Coturnix japonica: one gene and its partners. The protein of the gene in region 2 binds, or shares a complex with, the protein of the main gene of each other region. Links are inferred from orthologs where the notes say so. Each region holds a gene or a part of one and is shown on either strand. Other genes may lie near its edges.

Region 1 (4,114 bases), on a different chromosome or scaffold from region 2:
TACACCCACACAGACCTTTTCTTCTTTTAATAACACCTTTGATTGATACTTACAGAACTGTACTTACTTATATTATTCCAAGATGGGTGGTGTTTGGTGGCTGGGCCAGAAGTTCCTATTTGTCTACAGCAAAATATGCAGTAAGCAGCCACTGACATTCTGTATATTCAGAAAAAGAAAAAAATAAATAAATTGATTTGGCAATTACAACAGAAAACTTGTAGCCATGTTTCCCTTTTTACAGGAAAGGTTGTAAAGCATATTTATGTCATTTTGTGCGTTATAAAGCACTCTAAGTAAAAATTAAAAAGCCTATAAACTCCTGAATTTAGTAGTTTGCATTTTGGTTACAGCAAAAGTTTACAGAAAATCTTCATGCAATTACATATTTGTGCTAATACTGGTAAGTATCCATCTCTGACTACCTGCTCTGCTTTGAGGCAGAGGCATTTTTCTGTGATTCTTTACAGTGATTCTGTGATTCTTTACAGTGAGGGTGACGGAGCACTGGAACAGGCTGCCCAGGGAGGTGGTGGAGTCTCCTTCTCTGGAGATATTCAAGACCCACCTGAACGCCTTCCTGTGTGACATGGTGTAGGGAGCCTGCTTTGGCAGGGGGGTTGGACTCGATGATCTCTAGAGGTCCCTTCCAACCCCTACAATTCTGTGATTCTGTGTGAGGCCTTTTCCAATGTCTTAGTAATCCTCACTTAAACGCATCATGTTCACATGAAGACAGTGCTGAGTACAGCATATGACTTAGTAATTAGCTGTTCATAATTAATTTTATCTTAACACCCAAGTCTTGTATTTTGACTTAGCAGGCTCTAACAACTCATATACATTGTAGGCAAGTCAGATTTGGAAACGTTTGTCTTTTCTTGCTGACATACCCTGTAACATCACAGTTAATAAGGGATGTATTTTAGCATCTACAGATTGAGGTTCAATGAATGTACAGTTGTAGTGTTAAGCAATGAGGCATTTCAGGCCATGTGAAAGCACCGATTACTGTATGCACCAACTTTCTGCCCTGTCTCCTTTCAGCACTGCACTTATCCACTGACTTCATTTATTACATTTCTGATAAGCACGCTCTCCCTGCGGTCGCCTCCGCACAACTGGGGCAATGCCAGCGGCCAGCCCCACGCCAGGAGGGGCTTCAAGGCTGAGGTTTGACAAACACAATCATCGGACCACGGACAGACCCCATCCCTGGCCCCTCCTACTGCCCCGCCGCCATCCCCCTCTCTCCACAGCGCTACCCGTACCTTCCGCTTCCTATCTCCCTTCGCAGCCGGCACCGTCGCTCACGCACTCAACGTCATCACGCCGCACAGTGTCAGGAGGGCAATAGGAGGAGCGAGGGCTGCACTTGCGTAGTACGTGTATGTGGGGGCAGTGGTTGGGCTTGCTGGGCCGGAGCTACTCGTTCGCCGTCCTCGGTTTAACCTAGGGACGGGTTGGAGCCTGTCTGCCTTCGCCCCGGCCGCCTTTCGCAAGGCCACGGTTCGCACACGGCAACGGGAGGCTGGGCTGCTGTCGGAGGAGTGGGTGGGGGGATGGGGCATAGCCGCTCTGGGTGCTGGCGGGGCGAGGGGGGTCCTGGGTCGCTGAGTTCAACTAAAGCGTTTCTTTGTCTTACAGGTTTCATCTGCTGTTATCTGTAACCTCAAACAGGAGTCTTTGCTGCCACCCGCACCTTGCAGCGTTTGTGAGAGCTGCGAGGATGGTGAATGTTCTGAAGGGCGTCCTGATTGAATGGTTAGTGACAGCATCAGCATCTACTCAACTGTTTCTTTAGGACTGGAAATACTTTAGGTGCTTTTAAGAGTCTAGACCCAAAAATGTATTTGCTGTAAACTTCAGCCTGGAGAAGAGAAGGCTGCGGGGTGACTTTATTGCAGCCTTTCAATAACTGAAGGGAACCTACACCCAGGAGGGGAGTAAACTCTTCGAAAGGGCTGACAATAGCAGGACACGGGGCAATAGATCCAAGTTGAAGGAGGAAAGATTTAGGTTGGATGTTAGGGGGAAGTTCTTCACTAGGAGAGTGGTTACGCCCTAGAACAGGCTGCCCAGGGAGGTTGTGGATGCCCCGTCCTTGGAGGTGTTCAAGACCAGGTTGGACGGGGCCCTGGGCAACCTGATCTAGTAAATGTGTATGTTTGGTGGCCCTGCCAGGCAGGGGGGTTGGAACTACATGATCCTTGAGGTCCCTTCCAACCCGGGTCATTCTGTGATTCTGTGACACTGAGCAAACAGACAGATGAAAGGCATGGTTTTTAAGGGAAGAAGGAGAGAGACAGTTGTGGGTAATCTTAATTCCTGACTCATATTTTCAGATATGTTGTTTTCTGCTTAGACTTAACCATCATGTATTCATCTTGTTTGTTATATTGTAAATAATGTTAATTAGTTTTCATCCTGGGTGATGTGTTCTGATTCTAAAGGGAAATTTGTCCATGCTTCGTCTTTTGTTTTCTTTTTTTATCAATTCCAGTTCGCACACTCAAGGCTGGCTACTCTAAAATGAATATGCTCATAATTTCAGACAGTAAGCTGTTCATATCCGTGCAGTCCATTTGTTTCTATACAGTCTGAAGTCCCTAGACTAAGGTTCTGATAAGAATTACCTCCAGGTTAAAGAAAGTGTCACTCAAGGTTTGTGGAGTCATTATATATCATTACATTATGTACAGGATTTCTGCTGTATGTTTAAATTGTAAACATATTAACAGACTGTAACTGCATGAGTGCAGAACATCCTTCATGGTGCATACAGCTGTCTGCCTACTGTGGTTTACTTCTGAGCTGACTGGACATTAGCCAGCTCACATCTGAATGCCTCATAGTTTGGTATGAGCAGCTTGGAGCATGAATTCCACTATCACAAAAAGTTTCTCTGCTCCAATTTGGCTGCGTGCTACTATGCTGATAAACCTGAACGCAAGAAATGGCCTTCCTGCATTTTCTCAAGACACCCAAAGCAGAGTTGTTGACTAGCAAAACAAGAAATTCTAATATCTCAAGCAGACAGTACAGCCTTGTAGTTTTTTTGTAATTTATTTTACTTGCTCTGGAAGATTTGTGTGTTCCTGTACAATATTGTGATCATTTCCCATTTAGTATTAGCTTGAAACTTTATTATCCTCCCTGGAAGGAAATAGTTTGCCTGACAAGAAGTCTGTAGCATCTGTTATGCCATCAGAGTTTGAACAGCCCCTTGGGTAACTCACTTTTATGTTGGCTTTTCTAGCTGCTGGTTGCTTTCTTGTTTCCTTCTTGCCTTTGCATAATGGTAGCTGATGAGTCCATCCTGAGAGCAGATTACAAACCTGTCCCCTTGTTTACTTTTCAGATACCAATTTTTCACAACTCAGCTTTTCCAGGGCATCTTAGGTAAAAAGTCAGCAAGAAGTTTGGAAAAAATAAATACTTCTGAATGTGTTAAACATTAAAGTAAAACATTAAAATAAAACTATGAAATGCTGATAATATACAGATTTCTTCCTTCCCTCTGTATTATTCCAGTATATAGCTAAACTGTTCTGAGGACAAAATCTCAAGGATTATAATCTTCAAATGCTGAATAAGATCGGTGTTTCTGCTGTAACGTACATCTACTGGCACTGAGTGCACTCCTGTATGTTGATTATGTGAAAATATGTGTGTATTGCCTGACATATGCCTGGGCACACCAGCTTATGCTGTCTGGTACTCATAGTGTGTTGGTAAGGTACATCTGAAAGAAACAAGCAAAAATAAACCTCTGTGCACCCATAAAAAAGAGTGTGTGGAAGAAGACTGAGGACCACCCACTTTTGGTATCATTTTCATTGCTTCTTTGTGTAAACCTTGTCTTTCTTCTAACATTCTTTTGATTGCGAGCAGCTCTTGAAGTTGGTACAATTTTCCTAAGAACTTTGAGAATGTCTTAAAAGGATGCTCTTAATTTTTAGCTGTATCTTATTACAATGAGGTGGAATCTGATGTGTATTTGTCTCTGCAGTGACCCAGCAATGAAGCAGTTTCTGCTCTACTTGGATGAGTCAAATGCTTTGGGAAAGAAGTTCATCATACAAGACCTGGATGAAACTCATGTCTTTGTATT
Region 2 (3,649 bases):
GATCCCAGCCGCTCTCTGCCTTTGGCTGTCTCAGCTCGCCGCGGAGAAAAGCACGTGCTTCCCTCGCACTGTCGTGGTTTGACTCCTACTTTGGGTACTCTTCTCTCTCTCGTTTTGTTTGATTTGGTTACATTTAGTAAATTCCCGTTCCTCCTCAGATCGTTGCCATTGTGTTTTCTCTTTGTTAGAACTATCTGCTCTCTCTCTGCCCTTCCCCCTCTCCCGGAGCGTGTGGCCCGGGGCCGGCCGGGTCGTGGGGCAAACTCTTTCCTTTCTTTTCCTTCATTCCTTTGTCTCTCCTTTTTTTTTTTCCTCCTTCTTTTTCAATCTTTTCCCGGGGCCTGTGTCCCCCTGTCACGGTCTTATATCTTGGGATAACCCCGTGACATAGCTTTCAGAAATACATTTAAAATTTTACTTTACGTAGAGTCAGAATAGGTAATAGAAGGCATCGAAGCAAAATCTGTAAAAGGCAAAATAGCCATACTGCATCTCAGAGCTGCTGTTGTATATTGTCTTGACTGTAAAACTTTTAAGATCAGAGATTGCTCAGTAGCTGTTTTTGCTGTGAAACTCACCTGGTATTTGTGTGATGTCTTTTCAAAGTTATTTTGGTTTGAATGTTATTTTTGATAGGCTGTAGTACTGATGAATTGCTGTATTTTTCCTGTTTATAGCACCTCAGCAGCAGGTTATTGTGCCAGATTCCAAGCTGATACCGCACATGAATGCATCGGGCATGGTAAGGAAAGCAGAGGCTTGTACATCTATATGCTGTCATTGTATAAGTTGTTTTGACTGAATAGTGAAAACTAATCTGGTCATCAGATGCTTAAAAGCAGGACATGTTGATAAAACTGTCTGCCTGCTTTCTGAGTTCTGCTTCTGAAATGACAATCTAGAAGTAACCAAGGACTTAGTAACACTGGACTGGACTGGGTGATCTTGGGGGTCTTTTCCAAACTTGGTGATTATCATTATGATTATCATTAATCATTATGATTTCAAGTGTGGTAAGCCTAAACTTTATTTAAATTAGAAATTGGAGTACTCTTGGTGCAAATCTGCATTATGTACTTGTCTCATGCTAATGTAACACTACTGAATGATACAAACATTGTATTTGTTAGATACAGGGAACAGCATCAGCTGTTCCGAAGTCTCAGCTTATAGCAAATGAGAGTTTATTTAGCAACTCAGATCCACCTTTTCTGCTCGTCTTATTTAGATTCTTTAATTTATAGGAGAATATAAAACAGTATGGTCATTTATTCATTTCTCTTAGTTTTTATCTCAAGAGGTTAATTTTGTTTTTGTTTTTTTAAATGCCCTGGCTTAATGAAATATATATACATATTTCATTAATATATATATATATATATTAATCATTATATATATATATATAATATATATATATAAGCATAGATAGATAGATACTTGTTTCTTGAATAATTATAATTATATTATTAATTATTATTATAAATATAATTAATAATAATTAATAATAATGATTATTATTAATAATAATTAAACAATTTAAAACCAGAATGTATTACATTTTAACTACTTTTCTGATAAAACCATGTGAAGCAATGTTTTATGATTAGTCAAGGCATTGGTAACTTTCATAACCTTAGTTCTCCATTACCTGCTGTCCTTGTTATAGAAAAGAATCTGAACTTCATTACTCAAATAGAAAGATGTATTCAGAAGCTGAGAGCATGCTAATGTCTCATGCTAATGTAAAGTATTTTACAACTGTTTCAGTGTAGTTTGTGAATTCTGCAGAAAAACAATTAAACATTTTTTCCCATCTCATTTAACAAAGTTTTGTTGATGGATATTGCAAAAATGAGGTTGTGGGGATTTTAAAACTCAGGTGCTGTCAAAACAAGAAAGAACTGTAAACTGCAGAAGACTACTATTCAATAAATACTTTTTTATAGAACTAAGTTGGAATATTTATGTGTTTCTAATAAGCTTTTAGGTTGGTATTAAATAACGTATCTGACCTCGAATGTCTTGGAGAACGGCAACTAATGAGAATTTATCTATCTGCCTTTGGGATATATGAATGCAGAAAACCACTTTAGAGTTTTGCTTGTTTTTCTGTTATTTTGGAAGTGATATTACTACTATATGGATCAGTCAGTAAGGGGAGATTATATTTCTTATAACCATGATGTTATGTACTTTACCCAGTAATGAAGTTTAAATCCTTTCAGTTGCGGAGGGTAATTTCTCATGGTTCCTCTGTAGTGAGGAAGGGAGGATTTTCAAAAGATAACTGCTGTTAGACACGTGAAGTAGAAAAACCTCTGGAGAAATCTGTCTCCCTATATGAGTCAAGGACTTAATGCAGATTTTTGTGTTTGAAACTATGTGAATTGCATTAAAATTTAATTTCTGTAAGATAGAATCACTACCCACTGAGAGTCCTTGTGACTCTTCTAACCAACTGTCTTGAGAGAAAAAAATAAGTAATTCTATGAGCAGTCAGTATGCTGTGTGTGTATATTCACTTGAAAGAATTGTGTTATTTGGCACTTGAAATGTAGATTAATTGTAGAATGAAGAAAAGTGCAAACCTGATCGCTGCTCCTTGTGAAAACAAGTGAACATAGTCACTGCTGAAGTACCTTATCTTCAAATTTGTGGGCTCATGACTTTAGCTGCTTTGAAAATGTAAAACTGCCTCCTAAGCCATGCAGTATTTTATTAGTAGGTCGGGAGAGGTACATGGTTTCAGGCAGTATGTTGTAACATGAAACAGTGGCAATAATACTTCCTAAAAAGCTTTTCTTGTATTTCAGAGTGCTGCTGCTACTGCAGCTACGTTGGCTCTCCCTACTGGTGTTACTCCTGTTCAGCAGATACTTACAAATTCAGGTAACTCTCTTAACACTGAGGTCATGTGGTGGTTTTGTGGTTGCTTGGGAGAGAGAAATTGTGGATTTTACTTGCTGACGTATATTGTTCATATATCAAAATCAGGGAAAACTAGATCTTGGACTGTTGCTCACCAGTCTTGCAAACCTAACAGATTCTTTGCAGGTCTTCCCTGCTTTTTAGACATGTTCATGAAAACGGACACTACTGGCCCAAAACTGAACACAGTACTCAGGTGCAGCCTCACCAGTGCTGAGTACAGAGGGGCAATCACCTCCCTGTTCCTGCTGCTAACACTATTTCTGATACGCCATTGGCATTCTCGGCCATATGGGCACACTGCTGGGTCATGTTAAGCCAAGTGTGACCAACACCCGCAGATTCATTTCTTCGTGCAGTCTTCCAGCCAGTCTGCCTCAAACCTGTGGAGTTGCTTGGGGTGGTAAAGGAAAACCTGAGAAAGTTTGTTTCCTAGAATCAGTTGCTTTTCTTGCCAGAATAGTTCACTTAGTCTGCTCAGAATCATCTGGAACTTAACCTTCCCGCTGTATGCATCTGAATGTGTAGTGGATACACAGTTGAAACAAAATTGGAATGTGTATCTGTTCTAGAAATTTAAGATCTTCTAATTTCTAAGGAAGAACATCTGTGCTTTAAGAAGACTATTATATTGTTTCTTATGTTATGCTTACTGTTTTCTTTTTCAGTTGCAAATATTTGTAGTATGTTTTCTTTAAGAACAGGGTATGGTAGTCTGCAG
Region 3 (4,226 bases), on a different chromosome or scaffold from region 2:
AACCCATCCCTGTTGCTTTCTGCAGCAGCCAGCACACCCCCTAATAGTGGTATCATACTGTACAGATAACAGTGAAATGACATGTTTGTCTTTCAACAGCCTCATCAGCACTGGAAACAAAATTTGGATTTGCAAGCATTTAATCAGGCTAAATTAGCACCACACACAAAGCAGCAGTGTTTTTTAAGACAAATTGGCGCTATGGGTATTTTAGTATTAAATATTCTGAATATAAATGTTCTGAACAGGAAAATGGATGCAAAAAGTTTGGGCTTATCAGTACAAAACGGCAACCACTTCTTAATACAGACTCATGAGAAATCATCCGAAAAGCAAAATGACGTTATTTCAGTTTTACCTTATCCAAGGTTTCTTTATACTGTAGACCTACTTATTTTAGTGAGTACAAGCAAGGTCACAAAACAGCCTGAGAATCTCTATTTACACATTTATTTTTATCCTGATTTGGGTCCTGTCGAGTTCAAATCCAAATTTCAGACCTGATTTTGCGTGACTTTCAATATGTCTTCACTGGGATTTATTCAAACCAAGATTATCTTATGCAGTTCACAGGAGTCCAAAAAACACTGAAGAGCTGAAACACAGGTAAGGCTTAGGTGTGAGCTGTGAAAACAAGGTTAACACTTAACTCAAAAATGAATATAATACCAATGAATTTAACAGAATGCTGCACATTCTGACTAAAGTTTAAGGAAGAAACCCATTTCTAAAAGTAGTATAGACAGAATTGAGATGGTATGGCAAGTAGTATCACAGTGAAGTTTAATATTTTAATATCTTAAACCACTAAACTATGCATTTATACACCAATGGATTTACAGAGCAAAGTTGCCAGAAATATTAAACTGAAGTATAAAATTGATGTATCTTCAGGTCAAATCACCGGGCATCAAAAACCACCACTGGAATTGTGCAGTTAAAGAAAAATGCGTTGCAGTTCAAGGAAAGATCAGGGGAGGAAAGGGGTCAAGGAGAACAAAAAGAGGGAATGCATAAATCTGAAGTCAATTTTCTTACACAGCTTGCCCCACAGCTTCCCAAATGCATTCGACTGCCTTTGTAAAAGGATACATCTTTTTGTTCTTTTCTTGTACATTATTCTGTACCCACACTCTCGGCATCTGATCGGATCTCTTGCCTTTATTTCATTTTCTGTATGACATTCTGATATGATGGAGAAGGAGAATAGCAATGAGTGAACAAAAGCAGCATATCTAAAGCACAGATAGCTTTCAGATGTAACAATGGTCTAATTCCTTTTACTAGCAAACAAAGCATAACAGAAAATAATTGCAGTGAATTTTAATAAGTAACTGAATTATATTAAGATACTGTTAAGGAAAAAAAAAAAAAAAAGAATTGGCAAACTTAGATTGCTAAAAAGTATCCAAACATTACTGTACCATTCCACACTCCACTAATGAAACCTTCCTCTCAGCCCCTCCGAGCCACCAAGTTTATTTTCTTAAGCCTAAATTTTTCTGAGGCTTTTAAAGTGGTTACTCAAAAGCTCCAATTTTCACTTTATTAACTTATGTTTAGGTAGAGAAAATCTGACAACTGTGCATTAGTGAAAGTTGAATGACAACACTATTTCCAAAAAAACTTTGTCTCCAAGATGCAATATATAAAAGTTCTGCTATCATCCTCTAGAGATGCAGGACCCCCACACAGCAACAGAGGTTCTAGTGAACGACTTCCACATCAATAACCACAAGTAATCCATGCATATGGGAGCATCAGTGCATAAAGCTTAATGCATCATCAGGATCCACAACCCAGTTATGTAGATTTCTGTACTCTGTGGCACTATGACTGCACATTCCTCATTATTAGAGCATTGAATACCACTAATGTCTTTTCTTTACCTCCACAAATGTAAATCATTGGCTGCTGCTTTGGGGGCTGAACGTCCTTCTGTGAATCCATGTTCTAAGCAAAAACAACAAATAAAATACATGTTTTTTGTTGTTGTCTTACACAAATATTTCAATATCTCCATCTAAAGTTGACAGAAATTGAAAAAGTTCTTTTAAAATAAATACAAAAATATTCAAGCTCTGTTTAATATATGCTACATAAGATGATACACATTGGAAAGGACTTCTGTTTGTCCTGGCACGCTAACCTTTTGCCTTCAGGTTCACCAACATTCCTTCACAATATCAGACAACTACTCCACAAACAATTCATTTTTTAGCAACCCCCACCTAACATGTAGGTATTACTGCAGACCTACGTTTTAAGGTTGTGACCATACAGAGAAAGAAAGCATTTTTTCTCCCCTTCTTGATAATACCAGGACAAGGGGAAATGGATTTAAGCTGAAAGAGGGTAGACTTAGGTTGGATATTAGGGGGAAGATCTTCACTAGGAGACCAGTGAGGTCCTAGAACAGGCTGCCCATGGAGGTTGTGGATGCCCCATCCTTGGAGGTGTTCAAGGCCAGGTTGGACGGGGCCCTGGGCAACCTGATCTAGTAAATGTGTATGTTTGGTGGCCCTGCCAGGCAGGGGGGTTGGAACTACATGATCCTTGAGGTCCCTTCCAACCCAGCTCATTCTATGAGCCTATGATTCAATGATCCCCCCCCAGCCCGCCTCGGTTCAGCGCCAGCCACGCCTCCTCCCCACTGACCCCCAGGGGCTTGGTCGACCCTTTCCCCACTCCCCCCTCACCCCGAATCTACCACCACCACCAACCCGGCAGGGATAAGCCGAAAGCGGCACCAACCTCCACACTCCTCGCCGTCCCCTCGGCGCCGAATGATGGCGTCACTACGCAAAGCCGGAGGGGGCGGGTCTGCATCGCCGTCCTTAAGGCGCTGTGTCGGGTTTACAGCGGATAGCGGCTGATGGAGCCTTGGGGGAGTGAGAGTTGGAAGCGCTAGTGAGCTGAGCCTGGCGCTGGTAACTAAATCTCGGTACCCTGCGGTCTGTGCCATGTATTCCCGCATTGAAACAAACTGGCAAGCCGCGGTGCTGTCAGTCACCGGCTCAGCCCTACAGCTGGGCGAGTGCTGGGTGCCCCTTAGGCGTCCCTGTGTGAGTAATGGCACGTCCTCAGGTACGTAAGAACGTATAACAAATACTGCTCTGTAGATAACATCTCCCTGATGTGAGGAAATGCGTCTTTCCGAACGCCGAATAACAACCGTCTCCTGGGGAAAGCTAGAAGTAATAACAACGTGCTAAGGATTTCTAGGCGGCTCATCGGCTTTGTCTTGCTGCTGTGCGAAAATAAAGTTAAGTGTAACTTCTTAGTGCCGGAATAAAACACATGTAAGAATAACGGGACGTGCACGGCAGTGATGTTCGCTGCCCCGGGTCCTCCGAGGTGGGAGCTGCTGCCGGGAGCAAAAATCAACCAACCAAAACGGAACGATCCCTTCCTCCGGTGATGGACACAAAGTAATTAACACCTCACAAGTAACTAATCACTGAAATTAAAGTAAAGCCGATAATCTTTCCCCGCACTCGTTTTGTATTTTAAAACGGGTTTGACGAAATGATTAAAGCATCGAGGTGATGCTTTAAAACCTACTTACTAATTATACCCCATGAGAAAAAAATATATATCGATTGTCCCGAGAAAATCATTCATTATCTTGATTATATCCATCATTTAACTGCTCCCCGGTGGGATGGAGTCTTTTTAAACGTCCATTACTTCTGTGCCTCACGCCGCCTCCCTCGGGGTATAGCCCCGTTCCGACGGGCTGATAAACGCCGGTCCTGAAGAGAAATTCTTCCGACTGGCGTGAAACTGCTACAGAAAGCACTTTGGGAAACCCTGGATTCCATTTCTAAACTCTTTAATTCGCATTCTAAAATGGAACGAGGAACCAGCGCAAAAACCCTAATGTTTTTACCCGTTACAGTTACCCTCCGGTCGCACTACCCGTACACCGAGACGCCCCGTTTCCCCGCTCTGGGGGGGATGGAGCCCGCCCTGCTCAGCCTTAGTTACCACGGAGAACCTCCATCTTTCTGCCCTGGGTGGAGGCGTTACATTCGGAGTTACTCCCAACGATTTAAAGCATGTTTTATCTCACAGTGTTTCTGGTGGAGCCGTAAGCGTAAACCATGAAAGAAAAAACAGAAGTTCTGTATGATTATCTAGCTCCTGAGCTGTCGGGTACAAATAAGCTAATTAAAATGAATTAATCAGCACCCTTACATCTCAGATTTTAAGCTCTTGGTGCA

The links.
Region 1: GTF2A1 (region 2) and GTF2H5 share a complex: the UniProt entries of both Homo sapiens proteins name them as parts of the TBP-based Pol II pre-initiation complex. The link is inferred for Coturnix japonica from reciprocal best matches to the Homo sapiens genes GTF2A1 and GTF2H5.
Region 3: GTF2A1 (region 2) and POLR2K share a complex: the UniProt entries of both Homo sapiens proteins name them as parts of the TBP-based Pol II pre-initiation complex. The link is inferred for Coturnix japonica from reciprocal best matches to the Homo sapiens genes GTF2A1 and POLR2K.

Annotation. Positions count from the first base shown.
Region 1 is NC_029518.1:46,900,594-46,904,707, forward strand, and holds the start of GTF2H5 (general transcription factor IIH subunit 5), read left to right. Parts: upstream 1-1,282; 5' UTR 1,283-1,382; exon of another isoform or gene 1,383-1,509; intron 1,510-1,647; 5' UTR 1,648-1,729; coding exon 1,730-1,764; intron 1,765-4,012; coding exon 4,013-4,114. Other genes in the region: protein SERAC1, read right to left, coding at 68-158. UniProt on the Homo sapiens protein: Component of the general transcription and DNA repair factor IIH (TFIIH) core complex, which is involved in general and transcription-coupled nucleotide excision repair (NER) of damaged DNA and, when complexed to CAK, in RNA transcription by RNA polymerase II.
Region 2 is NC_029520.1:37,067,100-37,070,748, reverse strand, and holds part of GTF2A1 (transcription initiation factor IIA subunit 1), read left to right. Parts: intron 1-677; coding exon 678-742; intron 743-2,813; coding exon 2,814-2,889; intron 2,890-3,649. UniProt on the Homo sapiens protein: TFIIA is a component of the transcription machinery of RNA polymerase II and plays an important role in transcriptional activation. TFIIA in a complex with TBP mediates transcriptional activity.
Region 3 is NC_029517.1:116,286,662-116,290,887, reverse strand, and holds POLR2K (DNA-directed RNA polymerases I, II, and III subunit RPABC4), read right to left. Parts: upstream 2,850-4,226; 5' UTR 2,830-2,849; coding exon 2,755-2,829; exon of another isoform or gene 2,724-2,754; intron 1,954-2,723; coding exon 1,890-1,953; intron 1,186-1,889; coding exon 1,093-1,185; intron 924-1,092; coding exon 901-923; 3' UTR 435-900; downstream 1-434. UniProt on the Homo sapiens protein: DNA-dependent RNA polymerase catalyzes the transcription of DNA into RNA using the four ribonucleoside triphosphates as substrates.